Linked DNA regions of Lepisosteus oculatus. The protein of the gene in region 1 purifies or fractionates together with the protein of each later gene. This does not show direct contact. Links are inferred from orthologs where the notes say so. Each region holds a gene or a part of one and is shown on either strand. Other genes may lie near its edges.

What was found.
Region 2: the proteins of adra1d (region 1) and ctnnal1 purify together in Homo sapiens (tandem affinity purification; 3 studies listed by IntAct, with this or other methods). This does not show direct contact. The link is inferred for Lepisosteus oculatus from reciprocal best matches to the Homo sapiens genes ADRA1D and CTNNAL1.

What each region holds. Positions count from the first base shown.
Region 1 is NC_090696.1:7,474,689-7,485,894, reverse strand, and holds the start of adra1d (alpha-1A adrenergic receptor), read left to right. Parts: upstream 1-6,564; 5' UTR 6,565-7,017; coding exon 7,018-7,969; intron 7,970-11,206. UniProt on the Homo sapiens protein: This alpha-adrenergic receptor mediates its effect through the influx of extracellular calcium.
Region 2 is NC_090705.1:32,495,419-32,506,849, forward strand, and holds the start of ctnnal1 (alpha-catulin), read left to right. Parts: upstream 1-6,473; 5' UTR 6,474-6,799; coding exon 6,800-6,895; intron 6,896-11,431. UniProt on the Homo sapiens protein: May modulate the Rho pathway signaling by providing a scaffold for the Lbc Rho guanine nucleotide exchange factor (ARHGEF1).

The DNA.
Region 1 (11,206 bases):
AAATCTGCTCTGCCCATCACTCAGAGTGCATTCAATCCAGTATCAATTTAGAAGGATAGGAAGGAGGTTGTGCAGTCTCCACTTCGCACAACCTGAATTAAAGTGCTTTATTCTGATATTTTACGTTGCCATGGCATTCCTAATCTGATCACGCATTATATTATTAAATCAATTATTTAAAAAGAGTTGGGGTTTTTTCAGCGCAACCAGTGCTTGAAATCAAAGGGAATATATCAAGATAGCACTGAATGGACTATGTAAGATACAATAAATAGAACTAAAAACTACTGTACATGTAGTGAAGGGAATTTCTATCCTGTCAACAGAGATTCAACAACTCTTATACCAGAAACACACCAGAAGCCAACATCATGATTTATTCGTTTCCCCATCATTCAACAGTCTCTTTCTAATCTCTGCATTGGCTTCCAGACTGCTGTCTTTCACACTTCCCTCAGAAGGTTGCCCAGATTTCCATCTCATTATTCTCATTACCCATTCTCCTGTCTTTTTGTCCTGAGTTCTCCACCTAGGAAGATAAGATCACTTTATTGGCCATATACAATTTCATGCATTAGGACTTTGTCTTTTTGCATACCCCAGCTTGCTCTCACACAGGCACACAGTCAGGGAGAGAGAAGCTTGGGGTCAGAGTGCAGGGTCAGCCATTTATACATTGCCCCTGGAGCAACTGGGGTTAAGGGCCTTGCTCAGGGGCCCAACAAGTAGGATTCCACTACCAGCCACGGGATTTGAACCGGCAACCTTCCAGCCACAAGCACAGATCCTTAGCCACAATGCCACCACTCCCCTTTGCTTCTTATTCCTGTTCTCACCCTCTGCCCCCTCATAGGAGAAGAAGGCAGCGTAGCCAAATATTTTTCCTTTTCATCTTGGAATGAATCTCTTCTTGTTCTTTTGTAGCTTGCATGCTGACAGAAGCCCCTCACACTGCCTCTTCAGAAAAAGCTGACGATAGACACATAGATAACACTCTTAAAAACTGCAAAGCAGGATGCGTGTCTAATTCCAATTAAATTATTTATTGGCTGCCTTATATTATGAATTGCTTTGTCATATAATCACATCCACGGAAATGGCACTGTTTAGATAGTCATATTAGCTTTTTCTTAATAATAAATCATCTGAGAAATGGTGTCAACTTTTTTTCTCATCACTCTCCAATATGCCATCACAATGGCAAGATAAACCTGCTGCAGAGGAGTCATTTTTCTGATTTCAAGCATAACCCTTCATCAACACAATTCTGGATTTTACTGATTTTGTTTTAGAACGTGATCTGATGACATAAGAACAAAAAAAAAGACTACAAAAAAAGATTAGGTAATTTGACCAGGTCTGCTTATTTAAATGTTGAAATATATTGATCTAATCACAATCAGCTTTTCCTTTCAGAATAATCATTGGTTTCTACATAATTACCGGATTGCGAGATTCAGTCACCTACAGTATACCTCCTCCTTTCAGTGCTAAATATACTTCTTATATAGTAATTTTCACTTGTGTCCTCATGTACTTGTGTCATTGATGAGAATGAAGTAGTCTCTCAGGCTAAATGTGCAATACCATTCAGGGTTTGAATGCTTTGATTAAGTCTTTTCATAATTTCCTCTCTTCAAGGCTAGAGGCTGCGAAAGGGGTAATTTTGCTTCGATATTTTGTTTAAGGTCGACTCTTCAAAACTGCACCATTTCTTAAGCTGAACTCTGTGACCTTACTGACGCTACACCAAGGGCCACACTCACTTTACTTTGCTGAATTTGGGTTAATTTCTTTTACTGTAAAAATACTTTTCTTTGTAACCACTTAATGCAAATTATATTAGATTAAAAAATGATTACATTTTCTATTTATTTACTAATTTGAATGCAGGATTTGGCCATTGATATACAGTACACACATCACGCTCGTAAACCCCTCCTTGGACGCTCCAGCCCTTCCTTGTCTCCATCTCCAGCACCTGCTTCTGGTTCCTGCCCCATGTCCTATAAAAGCCAGACGTTCCTGCCAATCTGGTCTCAGCTTTGGAAGATGGACGCCCGGAAGCCCACCTCCCCGCGAGTCCAGGAGCGACTCGGCAGCATCGGCTTCAATGGCGTCCTGACCTTCTGGGTCCAGGACTGGAGCGTCTGGTCCCGTTATCCCCCTTTTATTCCTCCAACCCTCCACCGGATCCCGCTCCTGCCTTTTAACTTTGTTTGTCTGTCAGGTTGGATCTCCCAGTTTTGGACATTGGAATATTCTCGGATTTGCCTCGGACTCCTTCGGACTGTTTGCCTCGGACACATCCCTTGAACACCAGCACACCTAGAATACGCCCCCTGTTTTCCTTCCAGCCCCTTTGTATGCTTCCCCGTGTTTTCCTCACTTCTCCCGGATTGTGCTGTCTGCATAGGGTCCTGAAAGAACGCTTCGTGACAACATATATCCTGTCATACTGTACACCTTTCCAAATTCAAGTGTATAGTTTTCCATGGTTTCCAAACACATGCTGTTTAGTCATGCAAGTGATCCCTACCCAAAACATTTGTGATTCCACAGCTTGAAACAGAAATGCCAAAAGGACATGAAAGATGTACTACTGCAACAAAACTGTGACTTCCTGGTCAAATGTTTTTTTCTTATCCTCCAAACCCATTCAATTAGGCTATTTTTGAGTTTTGAGTCTTTACATATGTTACAGATAATCTACTGTACATTAAGGGCCAGAGCCGGCTTTACTTCTTGAGCAGGCTCACGTCCTTCAACGTGTGTAGTAAGATGCTCCATATGTTCTATCAGTCGGTTGTGCGAGTGCTATTTTCTATGTGGTGGTGTGCTGGGGCTCTGGCATTAGAGAAGGGGATGCTAACAGGCTGAACAAGCTCATCAAAAGAGCAAGTTCTGTCATTGGGTCTGATCTGGACCCCTTGGAGGTAGTGGCTGAGAGGAGAATGGTGAACAAGTCTCCCATCCCCTTCTATGACACGCTTGTGAGAATTAAAAGCATGTTCAGCAATAGACTGATCCAACCATGGCACAACAGGGAGCACTACAGGTGGTCATTCTTACCTCCTGCCAAAAGACTGTACAACTCATCCACTGTGTGTCTGGGCAGGGGCACCATTGGCCTGTTTTGTGTCTAAACATTAATTCTCTGTTAACAGCTGGTTTTCCTGTTTACAACTGATTTTTATGCAATATATGCTAGAAATTGGTGCAATATATGTATAATATGCACTACATCTTTTGTGTACTGTACATTCTGGTTTGTTTTGTATCTTCTGTAATGTGAGCAATTCTGTATACTCCATTAAAACAAATTACTGCACTTCGCACTGACTGTACTCACTGTATTGTATTGTTTATTATTGTATCTTTTCATTACACTGTGCTGTGTTGACACTGCAATTTCCCTCAGGGGATTAATAAAGCTATCTAATATATCATGTTCCATTTTGTGTTTGTTGTATTTTGGGAAATAAACAATTAAAGATAAACACGTGGTAACATCCATCCATCCATTCTCTAACCACTTCATCCAATTCAGAGTCACTGGGGAGCTGGAGTCTATCCTTAAAAACAATGGGTGCAAGACAGTATACACCCTGGATGAGACACCTGTCCATCACTGGGCACACACAGACACAGACAAATAGATGCACTCACACTAGAGCCAATTTTGATGTATGACTTATACCGTACTTAAAAGACAAAAACAGAGCACCAGGAGGAAAGCCACACAAAGGGAGAGATTTTACCACAGGATGAGAGAAGGAGTTGTAGTGAAGATGCTATGCCTTATTCTCAGTAGAACTTTTCAGGTTTTATCATGTGAACATCAAGGATCAGTGAACTTTCTTATTGCTTTAATTATATTGGGTAAATCTTCACCAGACAGTTAAGTGAATTACTGTTGGTGTGATGGATTCGCACAACAATACATTCAGAGACAGGAGAGAAAGCGTTGTCCATGTTACATAAGAAATGTATGCACACATAGCCCTATCAGAAAGGGTAACTAAAAGAAAATGCAACAGAATGGAGAATGGACTGTAATAACTATGCTGTTATACCTGGGTTAGCCAGAGGTCGCAGATCTCTGTCTCCTCAGTAACCAGACATATCAGCAAGAGGACAATGTACTAGAACACCACCCTGGGCTGTTCAGACTCTCTCGGGTCCGTTGTCCCTACCACCTTCTTCCAACAAATGGGTGCTAATTCCCTCAAGTCCAGGAAATACAAAAGAGAATTTGCCACTTATCCAGTGCTCTGTCATTGAGGTACCATCCAACCCAGGTAGTGTACTAAGCATTATTAACCTGTGTCTCAGAATGACACCCAGCCTGAATCCTACCTGAAAGACTCCCTGTCTGTCCTGAACCTGCTCAGCCTTTCTGTTGTCGCCAACCACCAGACCAGGGGCACATTTCTTCACTTGCAGCCTGTATTCCCACTGGAGAGTGTAGCCTAGATCAGTCCTGAAAGCTGCGTTCGCCATCTTTCACAGATTAGTCCCGTCTGCGACTGCCTTCCGATCTGCCTCAGTAATCCCCATCCATCCTTGTGAATGTCCGAGCCTTCGCCGGGATCAAGCTCTTGGATTCATCAGCCTGTCAGCAAGATGCCGCTTTTCTTATCCGGTTGCTACATCAAAACAAACACATTTTATTTATGTGAATGTAGTGAGTGTCAACACATGAACGATAGAGTTGTGGCATTCTAGTCTGTAGTAAAAAATATCAGAATCTATTAATCTAATCTATTCAGTCACATAATGCTCTATTTCTTATCAACAAAAGAACTCTCTATCACCTTACCCCACTAGGACAAAAAGAGAGCATGAACATGGAAAACTTTATCTAGGATGTAGCAACAGAATCACGAGACTTAAATTTTCCTGTACTCATTGAGTACCCCACTTACATTTCTCTGATCTGATAGGAACTAATACAGCATATGAGCTATCTGGGTGAGAAAATAGTGAGGAAACATTCAAATTCAGATCACACTTCAACCACTTTGCATGAAAAAAATCACTGTGTTGAAAATTGATACGTGGTTGTATTGAATAAAACAATCAGCCTTAGACATGTACTTTTCCAAATGTGTTGTATCTGAGCTCATTTTCTGACTTTTGCTTCCTGACTAATTGGGTATATTAGTGTCAGTTGCAGTTTGTAAATGTGAAGGGAAGTGTCATCTCTGATCACTACAGCCCTTTCCCTTGTTTTATAAAAAGTATAACTTATCGTGCATATGCTGAAATCATAAGCTATATCCTAATCTGTTACTGATTACGACACAATCAGGCTAGGTCTAAACAAACAAACTAAAGTCTTGCATGCCTTATACAGTACCTCCAGCATTTTCAGCATTTTATCAAGTGAAAATAAGGTGTAAAGGGCATTACACAGTGCTGTTTAAAAATTCATAATGGTAACTATACCCACAAGTAAAAAATTCTAAATTATTATCATTAATTTATTTTCCTGGTGCCCAAACAAATAATTACAGTATTACTCACTGTCCGGACAATATTTCAATGTGGTTTTGTACTTCCACTGCTTATTGATTTTGATTTTCTTTTTCCTTTGAACAGAGCCAGTTCCTTAAACAAATATGGCATTTTCTAAATACCTACAAATGGTGTTTTCAAAAACAAAAACCTATGGCTGCCATTGCCATGAACTCATAACTGCCAAAAGGGAAAAAGCTGCTGTACACCACAGTAGTAACAGATCTGTTTCAGTTGTATCATGAAGTCAAGTTCATGATGAAGACAAGGCTGGGGAATTGTGCCACTTAATAGTGAATAGCATGATACCAAGTGAGACATAAAAAAGACAGGGGATTAAACCTTCTGTAAAATTTAGACACAGCTTTTTTTAGATTAATTTCTACTGCTATTTCTGAAGACTTTTTCTGTGTCCTGCTCTCCAGTGAAAAGTCTTTGCAGTGGTGCAATATTTCAGAAATATTATTACTAAGAATTCAAGAAAATGTAGGAAGGCAAAATGTTCATAAACCTCAACCGTCTTGAAGAATAACATCCTGAATGAATTATAGGACTGTGTGTTCCTTTAGATTACTTTCCCTCTTAACCTTTCAACATGAGCCTCTGGTGGCTCTTAAAATAAATGTCTGTTTTGCCAGAGGGATGTGTGCAGTGTTTTGAACAGCAGCTGCGTACCATCAATGGGAATAGAGGTTAGCCTTTCGTTAGATCAGGACAGTGTAGTGGCTTAACAGTGTTTTTTCCTTCACGTAGCGACGACTAGCTAGGCAAATCGTTACGTGTTCCACTTGAGCTCCGAGTATCGAAACTTAAATCTGCCTAACTTTTTTAACTACATCACAGAAAGAGAAACATAGATGAAAGAAGTTTTAACGCGATTGTGTAGAACATGATCTGTAAATTAAGAATGTGCTGTCCTCTTGTGGACTTTCGTTGAACAACAACAATTATGTGTCGCGTCACAGACTACATTCCTGGGAGGAGGAGACAGTGAAATCTCAGCCGCAGCTCAGTAATTTGGGTTTGAGTTTTCTCACAGTGGATGTCGTCTGTGGAATATCAACAAACAGGGCAATACTCTTCACACGGCAGAAAACAAAACGTTAAAGGAATATCGTTCACAGAACTAATTTAACTGTCACTAATAATAGTAATGGAAAAACAGAAAAAAAGTTGAAATAATCTAAGAGGTGAAATGATCTTCAGAGTGAGATATATTGCTAAACTGATGATTTAGAATTTAACCTTTTTTGGTGTTTTTTTGTAGGGGGGATGAATGTGATGACGTTGCTGCAAAGCTTTCCAACAAACATGTAAGCACAAGTATTTCCACTCTCCAGTGCGACAGACGCACCTTGAGCGTGCGTTCACAAGTTCTTGCGTCTTTTCATATCTTTTGAATTATTTCCATACTGCAGCTCCACAGCAGTGCTTTAATGGTCTCATTGTGTCTCTGAACTAACTTAAAAAAAACGTTTTTCTTTATGGAGTTTCAAAATGACTTTTTCTGACTCGAACAATGATAACGATAATGGAAATTACTCCGGAGGCACCGGTAATCTGTCTCTCGCGGAACAACCTTTTGCCAACATCAGCAACAACACCTCCATGGAGCTGACATTGGATTCTCAGGCAATAGGGATAGGGGTGTTTCTGTCCGTTTTTATATTATTCGCGATCGTGGGGAACATCTTGGTGATACTTTCTGTGGTATGCAACAAGCACTTGCAGACAGTCACCAACTACTTTATCATTAACCTCGCCATAGCTGATTTACTTTTAAGTACTATTGTGCTGCCTTTCTCTGCCTCTTTAGAGGTGCTCGGATGCTGGGTTTTTGGCAGGATATTCTGCAACATCTGGGCTGCGGTGGATGTGCTGTGCTGCACTGCATCTATTATGAGCCTGTGCATAATCTCGATAGACAGGTACATCGGAGTGAAACATTCCCTGAAATACCCTACTATAATGACAGAAAAGAAAGCGGTGGTGATCTTAATAGTTGTCTGGGTCTCCTCTATGGTTATTTCAATAGGACCGCTGTTAGGATGGAAGGAACCGCCGCCGACAGACGAGAGCATCTGTAGCATCACCGAAGAACCGGGCTATGCCCTTTTCTCGTCGCTTTTCTCCTTCTATCTCCCGCTCATGGTCATCCTGGTGATGTATTTTAGGGTCTACATTGTAGCCAGGAGGACTACTAAGAACCTAGAAGCGGGGGTGAAAAAAGAAAGGAATAAGTCAGTGGAAGTCGTCCTTAGGATTCACTGCAGAAGTGTCCTGGAAGAAGCCGCCGCAAGCGCTAAAAGCAAAAGCCACCCTTTCCGAAGTTCCCTGTCCGTGCGCCTCCTGAAATTCTCCAGAGAAAAGAAGGCGGCCAAAACTTTGGCCATCGTTGTCGGGGTGTTCATCCTTTGCTGGCTACCTTTCTTCTTAATTTTACCTCTAGGTATGTAAGAAATCGTTATTTTGTTTTTGTTTGTAGTAGTGTGCGGACCAGGGCGAAAAAAGGTGTGTTCTTGCGTTGAGACTAAATGTGGCGTGAGAGTGTGGGGGATTTTATCGATTAGGTTACCCAGTCTAACAAAACTACTAACGTCTCTTTGTGTAAACAAACGTGCAATGTCGTTTCAGTAAAACAAACAAAAAAAGTGATTACCTATCCGTGTTAATGGACGCTGTCAGAAAGTAATGCAGGCGCAACTGATCTCGTTCTTATTGATGCTGCCTTGATAAAAACGTAGAAAAAGCTAAACGGGAATTTTGCTTTTCTTTTCAAAAATATAAAATAAAATGTGTCTTCGTATTCCTGCAACACCAGCAATTGACACCAGAGAACTGATGCGGTGAACAAATTATTTTGACTAAATTACAAAAATTCAGTAAAAAAAATACTTCATATTAACTAAAACAATCGGATTGTAGAGTATGCTTAGTTTACAGTGTAAAGTAGCGTTTAGTGCTGTATATGGTTCAGAAGTGCTTCAACATATCATGTTTTCTATACAATGCAAAAACAGGTTTAGATGATGGTCATAAAGATGTTTTTCGTTATTAGTCACTCTCCAAATAAAACCAGCTATATAGATATAACCAGGTTTCGTTATTCTTAAATAGAGATTCAAGACTTAATTGAAGACCAAATGAAAATTAAAACAAAGTGAGTTGGCAAAGCTCTTCTCTTTTTTCCCTTTCTGGCAAAGTGTGGGAAGAATTAATGGCTTATTGTTTAAAACAAGTCCACTACTCAAACTCACATTTCAAGGCATTCTAGACTGTGAATCCAGTAATTTCAACAGTCTGTTAAGTTCTATGGCTTTTAAAATCTATCCTCTGTAAATGGTCACATACCTCTATCTAGAGAGATTGTATTTGTCTTAAAGTCTTGCTGAAGTATTTGCTTTTCCCAATATCTTCTGGTACAATTAACTGCCACACTTGACAATTATAAAACTTTAAATGTATGTTCTTAACAAATTTAGCAAATATCATTCATGTTAGGTTTTCAGTTCAGATACTCTTAGAGTATTTACGTTTAGTTTACCAAAAAGTAATATTAATATATTTTCAATTTAAAACATATAAATCTCACTGTTTTCACAATCAGTTATATCATATTGCTTAACTGTAAGGAATAAGACATCAGGATACTCAGCTTTCAAACTCTTGAGATCATGTACTGTATTATTACGTAATTTTATGTAGTCCTATAAGAAATTAAATGCATCTGTATAACCGAGATATATAGATATTACATCTATATACTGTATAACATGTAAAATTAGGATTCTAATTATTCGGTTATGTCTTTCATCTTATTACTTATTATAGACACTTTTCCACTGGTTATTTTGGGTCATGAGGGAAAATTTCTATCCTGTGTTCCCATGAATAGAACTAGGTCTGGTTCATTAATAACTTATGAAACAATACATCAATGAGTCTAATCTGAAAATTCCCTTGTTCTAAAATGTAATGACTCTCCCTTTTTCTCATAATGGACACAGATTGTGTACTTGAAGACATTGCACACATTAATACATTAGTGAATATCAAATAAAGTCAAAGATATTTTTTTTCATAAGTTAAATGAGAAGGAGGTTGTTGGTTTTCCTGGTATGTTAAGAAGAACAAAGCTTGACAAGTAATGTGTTAATTTAATCTTCAGTGATATGCAAATATCACATTATGAGTGCATAACAATTAACACTAAATTGCTTAATAAAACATGTATGAGATGCATATGTATATATGAGAACAATCTGAGTTTTGTTGTCAAATATGTTATTAATCTTTAGTAAGGTTCAGTTCATACTACTGTAGGTTATTGATGGACTGTAATGATAACTAATACTGAAATTGCCATTTAGTTTATCTACATTAGCTTTTGGTATGATACAAAGATTATACAACCGGCATACTTAAAAATAAGACTAAACTTTTTTCCCAGCATACTTTTAGGTTATTTTCTGAATTGATTTTTATTAATTTCATTCAAAGAAGAGGAAGCACTTTCTTTTGTTGAGAAAGGATATTAATACAGTACAAGAGTCGCACTCAGCCTTGGGTCCAGACGTACACTTCAAGCTATAACTTTTCTTCTTTACACTTCAAGTCAAACATTTGCATACTTTTTTCACCTAATAAGAAAATGTGGAGAATAATAATTTTGTCTCAAACAAAATGTTACAGAATGCAAAAAAAAATACAGCTTTAAAAATACAGTCACAGTTCAGTGCTTATGAAAAGAAAATAGGTTTAGCAGATGAATGGCGTTTAAAGCTATTGTTCGGGGCTCCAGCAAACATATTCTTGTGTTGTCGCTTATGGTGGATTATTTAGTATCTACTGTATATACTCAATATGCCTAAAATATTCATATCTTTAAATAAAGCCAATTATGGACTGCTTGCTCATTTTCATTCATTTCATTCAAGAGATGATTTATGGTCGCTATTTAGATGATTTGTGGTGAGGTCGTTTTTGGGATGCATGGGTGTATTAATTCATCCAAAGTTAAGAATGTAGTTTGACACCTGTCTGAAGTGTTGGCTTTGGATAGCTTTTACCCTTTTTAGTGGCTACTGTGCAGTCCTCAGAGGCCGTCCCCTTAGGGGAATTACAGTCCACTGTATTTATCATAGTCATCATTGAGCCCTGTTATTAAGGTTGATGTCACTTTCTAAGCTTAATGACCTTTCTGTTAAACTCAGAACTTGTCTTAACATAATTTATCAATTTCCTGGATGCAGCACCTCTGCTTGGACTTATTGTAATAGAGTCACACTATGCTGTTTTTGACATCTCTGTTGACAACGTGCTGATTAAGGGACATAAATTCAATTTTTCTGCCAGTACTTTTGGAGTGTATCAGATGTGCCTCCAGATAATCTGGGCATCTGCTGTCTGGCACAGAACCTGAATTCCTGGATACGTTGTTTTTTTAAATGTTTCTTTTCTGCAAATTTTTCATCTATTTTTTTTCCTAACAGAATGCCACTGTCTTCATGTTGTTCCCCTGTTAAGGGAAAATATATCAGATATGGGTAGTTACTTTTACCCAGATTGAAATGTTTACTGACACTGTACAGACCCCTCTCAAACCCATTGTAGGATTTAATTTCTTTAAAAATATATGTTTGTTTCAGTTTTTATTATAGTGGGAATAGAAAATTCTGTTCTTCCA
Region 2 (11,431 bases), on another chromosome or scaffold:
GGAGATTTCCCTTTAGCTCAACTGGCTGGGTCCCTGTTGAGTGACGCCGGAGGCCCGGGTTTAAGTCCCCAGCGGCGGGGGGGCCGACCTGAGGCGGCAGCGGTGAGGGCGCATACCCACATGAATCCGAGAGCATAACATTGGTGTTAGCAGTGGGATGGGATAGCCCTTCGCCGAGGACGTCGAATAGCGGGGGAGAGTGTAAAGCATACGGCCACCATTGCAGGTTGTACGAGCCGGCTTACCAGCGTAGTGACGTCACCACCCTTCCCTGTGAATAGCAGGGACCACAGCCGACGGGATACAGGGAGATTTCTCTCTAGCTCAACTAGCTGGGTCCCTGTTGAGTGATGCCAGAGGCCTGGGTTCAAGTCCCCAGCGGTGGGGGGGCTGATCTGAGGTAGCGGTGGTGAGGGTGCATACCCATGTGAATCCAGGAGTGTTACAATATAAAATAAAAATAATAAAATAAGAATTCCAGCTCTGTTCCTTACTGTTGTGTCAGATAGTAGAAGAGAATCCAATGAGAAATGATGTGTCATACTGATGATAAAAGGGGTATTTAGGTACTCAAAATACCACCAATTGACAAAGTATATGTCAATGTTTATAGGTTACATTATTGAATATTTCACGACTAATTTCACAGAAAGAAAAGAGGGCATCTCACATTTTGCAACTTAAAAAAAACAAGTATTTGAAAATATTGTTGTAACGTTCCCAGGTTTTATCTAATTTTCATGGTCTATAATACCCCAATAATAAAAACACAGTGCGAGAGGTCATATACAGTACCAAAAAAGAAACTGTACCAATGATAACCAGAAAATGTAGGGATCTTTAGTACTGGGGTCACAATGTACTTTTGGTGTTCACAATGCATTGAACTCATCTCCTGACTCAGTCTTGAGAAACACATGTGATTTAATTTCTCAGTGGTTATTATAGATGTAGCCACTCCAAGAGTACCCAAGAGACTACTATGATGGACACAAAGATCAATATAACCACTGAACAGAGCAACAATCTGCTTGTACTATCACACCGCCTTTAATACACTGTATCTTTTCTGGTTTTCCCTGACTACTGTATGTTCACACAAAACGAATACAATTAACAGGGATCAGTCTTAACTAGTCACATAACTGCAATTAATTGCTGTTTAATTACTAAGCCAACTACTGCCATAATCCTCGGAACTATGCATTTGGTTTGAATATCCATATGTAAGAAAAAAGAAAACCATGGTGTTAGAAGTCAATCAGGCTATCCTATGGCTTTGGCTGTAATTTATAGCCCTGTCTTTTTCACAACACAGGAAAGTCAATAGAACTGAGGCCCCTGTAGATTTTTAATATTTCATACTGAGAAAAGAGCAGGAATGCTAAGTGAAGTAGATATAAGACTGTTTCAATGAGAAAAGACAGCACCACTGTCAAAACCTAGCCATTCGGATTGCTTTGTAAAATTGAATTGCCGTTTTGTTTGGCATTCAGTTTCAGAAAAATGCATCTTACTCACACCCCACTCAGTTCTTGTTTTACTGAAGAAATTCTCGGTTTCTAATTCCCTTATTTTATAATTATTCAAATTTGTTTTGATTTTGGCGATATTTACAACTTTTGCTCCTTCCAGAATAATTTCTTTCAGTGCACTGGCAACTCAGCTTTGACACCTACTTGGAAAAAGTGCACAAATTCATTAATTTAGCTGGTCAGACCCTTTAAGCTGCTCATATACTTTATACAACTGATCAAGCTTAAATTAAATTAGAAATGAAATATATTGCTATTTAAAAAAAAGCTCTTGGAAGAAATCTGCATTTGAAAGGTACTTTACACAGTGGTAAGTAAAAATACGCTGGGGATTTGACTATAGGATATTGAGGTTTTGAAGTGTAAAGCTGTAGCTTATGTATTGTGTTAAAATATTGGCTCCCTATGGCACTGTATGTAAGGCAAACACAGTCAATATCAATCATGTCAAAAGCATTCAGATGCTGTTTTGTTTACATTGCATCAATCGCCTCCAATATTGTTGTATAACTGATTGCTTGTTGCTGTTGTTGTTGAACTGATACGACTATCAAAAATTCTGAAACCGAATCTGAGGTTTACACGTACAGAATATGGAAATAAGAAAATGTTTTATTTGAAAGATTTTATACTTTTTAACTCAAATTGTAAATGGTCACTAAGCACATCTTCACAGAATTGTCAAGGGCAATTAGACCTCATTTTATCTGTAAACAATGCCCTACATCTTACACAAATACTTTTAGTTTTGAGCGCTTAGGAGGTGGGAGAAGGAGGGAGAACCACTTTAATATACAGTATCTCTCCATTCCCCTCTCTAGATAAATGTGCTGTCAGAACAATCTCCTGATCTGCTTATTTCTATTAGCAATACGATTTCTTCCTTACAACCATAACTCTAACCGAGGCAACAAAAAACGAATACCTTAAAATGACATTTGCATATGTTTATCTCATGAAACAGGAGTTAAATTGTGAATGAGGTCAGTTAATTTGTTAAGAGTTGATGCTACAGTTAGCACATTCCTCAATTTGTGGTACTATTGAAAGTACAGTATGACTAGAGAATATGTATGACTAAGTAAGTATGACTAAAGGATACTCTAAGGTTCTCTGGGCATTTTTCTAACCTCAACTGCGAAATGTAGTTAACAAAACTGTGATTTGATAACCTGATTGTTGAGTGTATCAATTCAGAATTTTGATTATTCTCCTAGCTTTGGTTGCAGCTCGCAGGTGTAATGACAAGGCACCAACACAACAAATTGGGTACACAGTCAGTCTCGTGAGTTGCACCTATTGGGATTTTTACATTGTAATTCATCGAACCACCACAGAATGCACTGTGAATCTCCGTCACTTTATTCCGACAATGAGTGAGAATTCAGAAACAAAAGCCACCCAAGATGACAAACAAGTCTTACGTGCTACAATAAATAGGGCCAATAAAACATCGTACCACAAAGGACATGTCGTAAGATGCTGTGTGACAAAGAAGAAGCAGGCCTCTAGCTAGATGTGGTAGGTCTTATTCTGTTCAGAATAAGAAAATGGCTCAATCCCACCTCCGAAAGATTGGTAAGGTTCCCAAACCCAGTGTCACGAAGCTTTGTGTTATTATAACTGGTATTTTTGTTAGTTACAACTATGACAAGACTGTGAACACTCCTGGTCAGTTTCACATTTTCATTTTCTCAGACATCAGCACAGCTGTAAAAGCATTCATAACTGAAGCCCCTAGTGTAACGTTTCCTCATTTAAAGAGATTTGTTTGTCCACCTCCCCCAAACCTGTTCCACTAAAGGATAACTGCTGAGGGAACAGAGAACATAAATAATTCATATTGCAGGTTTCATTCTTTTAGATTGAAATGGATGTCAGCTCAGCAGCTTCTTAAACCTCTTTGTTAAATGCTAGACAGGAGGCTGATAAAACTATGAATCACTAATTACGGGAATATGAAAGGGTAGTGAAATCAAATTAAACATTTCTTTCGGGCTAGGTTACAAATTTTATTTATCTCCATTAAACAAAATGGCGCAGAAAGGCTTTAGAACAGAACCCTGTACTGAACAGGGCCAACCCTGTTCCTGGTGAACCATAATCCAGCAGGTACTGCGGATCACCCTTAATTAACCCTAAATTTGAAACATTAAGAACATTTTAAGTTTGACCATTTAAACAGGTGGTTCATTGCAGGGTAGACACTCAGACACAAATACAGACACACACTTGCGCCAAGGACTAATTTTCCAATTAATAAGCCAATTAACATACCAGTATGTCTTTGGAATGTAGATGAAAACCAGAGCAGCCCAAAGGAAACCCACACAAACACAGACAGAACATAGAGACTCCACACAGATCGCACCCCAGGTTTGGAATTACACCCAGGGCCCCAGTGCTGTGAGGCAGTAGTGCTGACCACTGCACCGCTGTGCTGCCTGTAAATTAGATATTTCGGTTTTAAATTTTTCAGACAAATGTTCATTACACAATAGAAATTGTTGGAAGGTTGCCAGTTCAAATCCTGCAGCCTGCAGAGGAATCCTACTCCGTTGGGCCCCGGAGCAAGACCCTTAACCCCAACTGCTCTAGGGGTGCTGTACAAAGGCTTACCCTGCACTCTGACCCCAAGCTTCTCTCCATATCTGTGTGTCTGTGGAGAGCAAGCTGGGGTATGCGAAAAGACGAATTGCTAATGCAAGAAATTGTATATGGTTAATAAAGTGATCTTAATCTTAATCTTAAAAATATTTTGCCCCCTTAAAATGTTGTGTGTGTTGTGTTAAACGAGGCAAAAATTAACTTCAATGCATTCAAAATTCCAGTCATAATACAATATTTGCAATTGTGCAGTGGTGGAGGATACTTTCTGAAGGCACTGTAGCACTAAAAATCTTAATACTAGGAAATGGTAAAATTCTTTCATTTAAAGGCACAGTCACCCATTTCCACAATAATATTTATTTCATCCTCCAATGGTTTATTGCAGAACCCCCTCTGCAATATGCAATAATAATCACACTTAAACAGCATGGACCTCTGAACATTATATTACAATGATACTACATTGAAATACTTTTTTTTTCTTTGTAATTGATTGTGGTTTTAGATGCATTTTTTAAACCATTGGTTTCCAGTTAACCCAGGGTTTACAGCCCGACACCAAGAACTTGAAGATCTCTGAGAGTGCTGCAGTATCTGTAACCTGTAAATCATCCGTTCCATTCTGAGTTTCACAGATGGAACAACGAGGCACATCTATTGTTTGGGTTACAGTATACCTATGTCAAAGAAAAAGTACTGTGCTATAGGGATAGGTAACAAAAAGAGCCATACTGTAAGAGAATACAAACAAAATAATTTTAGTAACTACAGTATTGTAGTTAATCACATTAAAGCAAGCTCCGTCATTAGGTCTGGCCTGGACCCCCTGGAGGTAGTGGCCGAGAGGAGAATGGTGTCCAAACTAGAGGCCATCATGGACAACGTCTCCCATCCCCTCTATGACATGCTTGTGGAAATGAAGAGCACGTTCAGCAATAGACTGATCCCTCCACGGTGTGACAGGGAGCGCTACAGGAGGTCATTCTTGCCTTCTGCCATAAGACTGTACAACGCATCCACCTTGCGTCTGGGCAGAGGCAACATTGACAGTGACCTGTTTCTGGACTGAACAGTAAACTGATACATCTGTTCTTTTTCTTTTTCCCCGTTTAAAACCGTTTTTGGGCAATATATGCCAGGGACCTGTGCAATACATTTATATATTTATATTTATATTGTGCAATACGACTTTTTTGTGTACTGTTCTGTTCTTTGTGTGTTCTGGACTGTGAGTAACTCTTCATAGTGCACTCCTCACTGTACTGATTGTATTGTATGTATTGTATTATTATTATTGTTGTATCATTCGTTACACTGTTGCTGTGTTGTCTGTGTTAAGCTGCTGTTGCACTGCAATTTCCCTCATGGGATCAATAAAGTATCTATCTATTACGTTAATGCTGAGAAATGAATATGGGCTGCAGGTGAGCCTTAAGAAGTGTAAGGAATGAGGTGATAGATAAATCTGAAGGAGAAATAAAGAGAAGTAAAGAGCCTGAGAGAGTATGAGATGAATAGTAAAGTTCTGGATGAGCTGCAAATAGACCACGGATGATTTTCCATTATTAGCTCAGTGCCTAAATGGCGTGTAGATCTACAGCCTAAAATGCAATGTAACTCCACATGACTGAGACTCAAATAACAGCTGACCTTTTCTTGCATAACTGGTAATAAAAGGCTAATGGGCATAATACATTATTTTGCATTTATACATATATATATTTCTTAGATTGTAATTAGCTTATAAGTGCACTGGACATGTTAGAAACAAGTCACGATGTTAATGCTCTAACTTATGTTTCTTACATTCAACTTTTGTATCTGTCAGTTGTTTTGTATCTTTTGGATTCTATCATTGAAAGATACAGGTTGTGCAGAATTATGTTACTTCACATTTACGTTTCACACAAGTTCCTGCAAATCGTGAGATGTAGCCCCTGAAAATGCAGCGGAACTACAGCCAATTTGTTTTATGAGCTCCTACAGGAATTTCCTCGTACTCTCAGAAATATTAACATCTGTCTTTTCTTTGAAAACAAATAAATTGCCACAGTATGTTCTGGGCAAAGCATGAATAACAATCTCCCAGTATGTTGTACATTTAAAACAGAAACGTCCACAAAACGTTTAGGGGAAAAAAAAGAACAGTAACGTGGAAAAGAGTGTGGCAGATCTTTTAATCAAGGTGTTGCACAGAGTACAATATGATTATGAAGTAGGAATGTGCTCGGAGACGGTCTGAATACGAAATGGGACAGAGCAGTGTTTCGTGGAGCGGTGTTGAATGGCACCATGTCGTCACCAGGCGCTGCGAGAGTCAGCACAGCAGAGCAAGCCAGTTACCGCTCGGCGAGTCCCGGTAGTGTTCAGACCCTCTTGGTGGTGCAGTCAGCGGTGCAGTGTTCGCACGGGCAGTTTACTGTAGTTGAGCGAAGTGTGTGGGCATTATCGCAAGGAGAAACGCCGAACACGAGTGCATTCTCCAGTAATGCCGATGACTTCAAAAAACAAATAAACGTCACGGAGATTAGGTTTTCACTTGCCGGTCCGCAAGAGAAGCGCTCCCCCTTTTTAAAAACTGGAGTAAAGCTCAAACCGAATTGTGCTTTGCAGTAGAAGAAATTAAAAAAAAAGAAAAGAAAAGACCGGCGGGAATGGCTTCATCTCCTTGCGGCAGTAGTAGCTTTGATTCCGGGCTAGAGATCAAAACGCGCTCGGTGGAACAGACTCTCATTCCCCTTGTTTCTCAGGTAAGTTTTGCGAGAAAGAAACCGCGCTAAACTGCATTTTACGTTGATTTCAGGCTGGGGGAAAAATGCATTTTTAAAAAAGCGGTGGGCTTTCCACAAGCAAACAATCAGCCTTGTACAGAAGCAGTACTGAGCTGTTTATGCCATGGAGTTTTGCTAGCAGCTGCGAAACTCGCGTGGTTGTTTTCTTGTGGTAAACCAGAGTGGTAGTAATATGATAGAAAGTTTTGGTGTTTGAAGTGGAGAATTTAACTACTTTGCATCACACTCTAAATTTATCGGAAGAGCTTGGAGGCCGCATGTTATATTCCTCCATATCGGCGATAGGGATGTAAACTTTTAATTTTATGACGGTTTTAACAACGCGGAACAATTCCATTATAAAACTGCCACTGATCGTACATAGAGAACTAACGCTTTATATTCTTCATGAAGGATAGAGATATTGATCTCCAATCGTACCTTGCAGTGCTCGTTTCAGAGGGGGCGCAGTGGAAGGTGAAACACTGAAACAACTTTTCTTTATTGAAATATAATCATCCAGAATTCGGCGTTGTAATTGAGATTCTTAGGCCAGGTAGATTAACACTGAATAATGCAGAGACTGGGATCCACAGCAGCGCGTTTGCGGTTTAGGTGAACGAAATTAGTCATATGATTTGTACTTGTGTAGTAGACATTTAAGTGCATGGCAGGTTTACATCACTAGTTCCTCTTTGACCAGATACTGAAGGTTGTTTAAATTTATTTTAATATTGAAACCCGTTGCGTTGAATCTGGCGTTTTGAGCCGCGGATCTGCTATTTACACAACCTTGCTGAACATGGTAACATTGAATTGAACTACAGTGCTGGCAACATTAACATACTTTACAGTAAATGCTTTTTAAACTTGTGCAACCGAGTGAATTACTACAAACAAAAACTGTATAAATATTTTCATTTAGTGTTTTTAAACATTGATTCAAATATACTTCCACTTGTTTACTATTTAAACATTGTTACGTATTGAGGGAAACTCGGTTTGATGCGCAAAATAAAAAAACTCCCAGATTTGTTATTATCTGGAACATTTTCCCTTAAAAATAACAAAAGGGGGAAAAGTCCGTTTTAATTTTTTTAAATAAACGTTTAAAATGATTTTATCATGGACAAGGAATACATTAATATGGTATTGAAGTGGTTTAATTTTCACGTCTCTTGTCACCCAGTTACTACCGACTGTGTAGTGTGAATTGCTGGACCATTTAAAAATAGAAGATGTTCCGCCAATCACAAAGTATCGTGAATAACAGTAATCGACGCATTAACCTTATACTGAATGTCACAGATGTTTTTGGTAGGCTGAGTGTTGGTTATTAATTAGTCATTTTAGTTTTAACACTCTGTTTATGTGTAAAAAAGTTGTTTCCTTCCTTACATGCCTTGAATCTGAAAGTTAAAACCGAAAAGATTACTTCAGGAATAGTTTTCTCTAGAACGAACAAACAAAAAAAGGCTTTAAAAACTGCCCTGTACGTTAAGCAAGTTTCTTAAAAGGATTTTAGCTTGTCAAATCCTTTTATATTAATCCTGTATATTGCTGTTAATATACAGAAATATAAAGAATGTCCACCATGCAATTAACTGTGAAGTGCTGTATATAAATAGTTCATTTGTCCCCTTTAAAATCCCTAGAGCCGGGATCCCCAATTATCGTCCTGGAGGGCCAGTATGTCTGTGGGTTTTCAGCCCAGCTGGGCTTTTAATGACTTCAGTGGATTCACTATTGGCTGTATTGGACAAGTTTAACATCTCCCTGTTCTACAGGTTATGGTATTTGAGAGCTAGAAAACCAGCTTCCAGCCCTCTGGACCAGAGCTGGTGACGTTTGCTGCTGAGGAGTGAGAAGTTAGCAGTTTGTATGAAGAACAAAAGATGTTCTAATACAATGTCAGTAGACTGCAGTTTGCTGTATTGTGCACATGCAAGCAATTGGCAGGAAGGATGTATCATGTTTATTCAACGGGAACTTTAAGACTTCTTTCAGAAGAAGGGAACATTGGAATCCAGCAGTTATGTGCTTTCCAATGTTACCAAAACTAGCATAAATCTTTTGGAGTTTGTATACACTGTGTAACATAGCTGAGACTAACAGTACTTATTTAATGGTTATTCTACAGAATATTTTTTTTTGTATTTCAATCAGCACATGTGTCTTGTGGTTCTGGATTGGTGCACATGTGGACATAAATCTCTTCAAGAAATGCGAAGAAAACCTGTTGTGTTTTCTTTTGCTGGAAATATTGAATTTCTACTAATTTTATGTTCCCCACTTTGGGGGTGGCAGTCGGTCATCAATTTAATTTAAAGCTGGTACTCTAGGACTAGCGTGAGAGATGAAGATGAAGACCCACATGTACTTGGGAATGTCCTCTGAAACAAACACCCTCTCTTCTCGCATTGCTAGCCTACAGTACCAGCAGCAGGGACTCAGACCCCAGACTGCAGGCTTTTGGGTTCCCAGCCAACCACAGGAGTCCCTGGGTTTTGTATGTCAGGCCCCCTGCCCCCTGCCTGAGGTGCTCAATCAATTGTGTGTCACCACTTTGAGAAACTGTTGAGAAACTGTTCTACTTCACCTTGTGGTATGACCACATGGAGTCAGCAATTTTAACTGAAGGGCTCCACCTGCTCTACACACAGAGCCCTTGACTGTTTCAGCTGCTCAGGAGATGGTCTTTAACATTTTACCCTATTACACATCGCAGGAAATGGGAAGTCTGAATTGTGATAACTGTATCACAATTGTAGTTCTACATGTAATCATAATAATTGTTTACACTTATATAGTGCTTTTCTGGACACTCCACTTTACAAAGCGCTTTACAGGTTATAGGGACTTCCCTCCACCACCAATGTGGAACCTCCACTTGGATGATGCGACGGCAGCCATAGTGCGCCAGAACGCTCACCACATATCAGCTATCAGTGGGGAGGAGAAGAGAGTAATGAAGTCAATTCATAGATGGGGATTATTAGGAGGCCGTGATTGGTGAGGGCCAATGGGAAATTTGGCCAGGGGTTACACCCCTACTCATTTCGAGAAACGTCTTGGGATTTTTAATGACCACAGAGAGTCAGGACCTTGGTTTTACATCTAATCAGAAGGACGGTGCCTTTTTACAGTATAGTGTCCCCCTCACTATAATGGGGGATTAGGACTTACATAGACTGCAGGGTGAGCGCCCCCTGTTGGTCCCACTAACACCTCTTCCAGCAGCAACCCCAGGAGGTCTCCCATCCAGGTACTGACCAGGCTCACACCTGCTGAGCTTCAGTGGGTTGCCAGTTGTGAGTTGCAGGGTGATATGGTTGCTGGCATGTGCTGTAATTTTTGTGTAACCGAATACCACAACTGTGTCAGATCTCCATATTGCAGGATCTTGATAATTACTGAATTTCTGTGAGCGCCCAATGGTGTCGTTGGATATGAGTCAAAAAGAGAATTGTGCCGTTTTGAAAGCTCATAAGCAGCATTTATTATCAGTGTCTGCAGGCTTTGCTTCCTTTACAGATTTAGTGCAACAGCCCAGTACTGTAGACTGCAGTGTGAGCCAAGGTCAATTTAGAAACTACTCCCACACCGCTGGCCCTGAGGTTAAGATGAGTACTCATGTAATGTGCAACTGTGCAATCAGCTCTTGTAATCTAGTGCATATCTTTATTGTTTTACCTTTTATGGATTTGGGAAGATGATGTATCGGGGCTGTAACTCCTCGATTTAAACCAATTTATTTAACCAGCATCAACTCCAGTGCAAGTTTACTGCTGTGTACTAAAAATCATCCTGACGTAGCAACGTGGTCAGGTACTGTATTTTCTCAATTTTTGTGGAGCCTACATTTTATAATTATTGAGCGTCGTCTTGTACATGTATTCAAAGAACTACAGTATGGATTGTGCAGTTCCATCAATCTTTTGAAATGATCCTTTTGCTGTGTATCAGGAACGCATTTGTTGTCATTTTCCTCCCCTATTAAAAGCGCTAACGATGGTACAGTAACAGACTTTAAAACAAAAATGACTTGGCTTGGTAACTTGAATTCAAAGAATGGCTCAAAGATGGAACATCTTCTCCAGTTTGGATTAGCTGTCGATTAGCTGTTGAGAGCCAATACATTTATCTCTGATTTTTGTGTGTGCTAATTTGTGTGCTGCCCATTTCAACACAACAAAACCCATTGGCTTCTCAGTAGGAGGCAGTTTCTCACAGTCTTGTCCATGATGTTCGTTTCTCTTCTCTTCAATGGGACATCTTATGTGTTCATTATTTTTTCCCCCCACTAAAAGGCCTTAGCATCCGGTAAAAAATAATCTCTTTGAGAATCCATTGTCTCCTTCTTCAGTGTATTAAGAAAAATCATTTAAAATATATATATATATATTTTCTGATAGCTGGTTTCACATAATACCAGTCATTAGTGAAGGGAAGGTTAAAAGGTTAGTAATCTATAAATTGCTAATCAGCAGATGTCTGAAAAGCACCTATTATAAT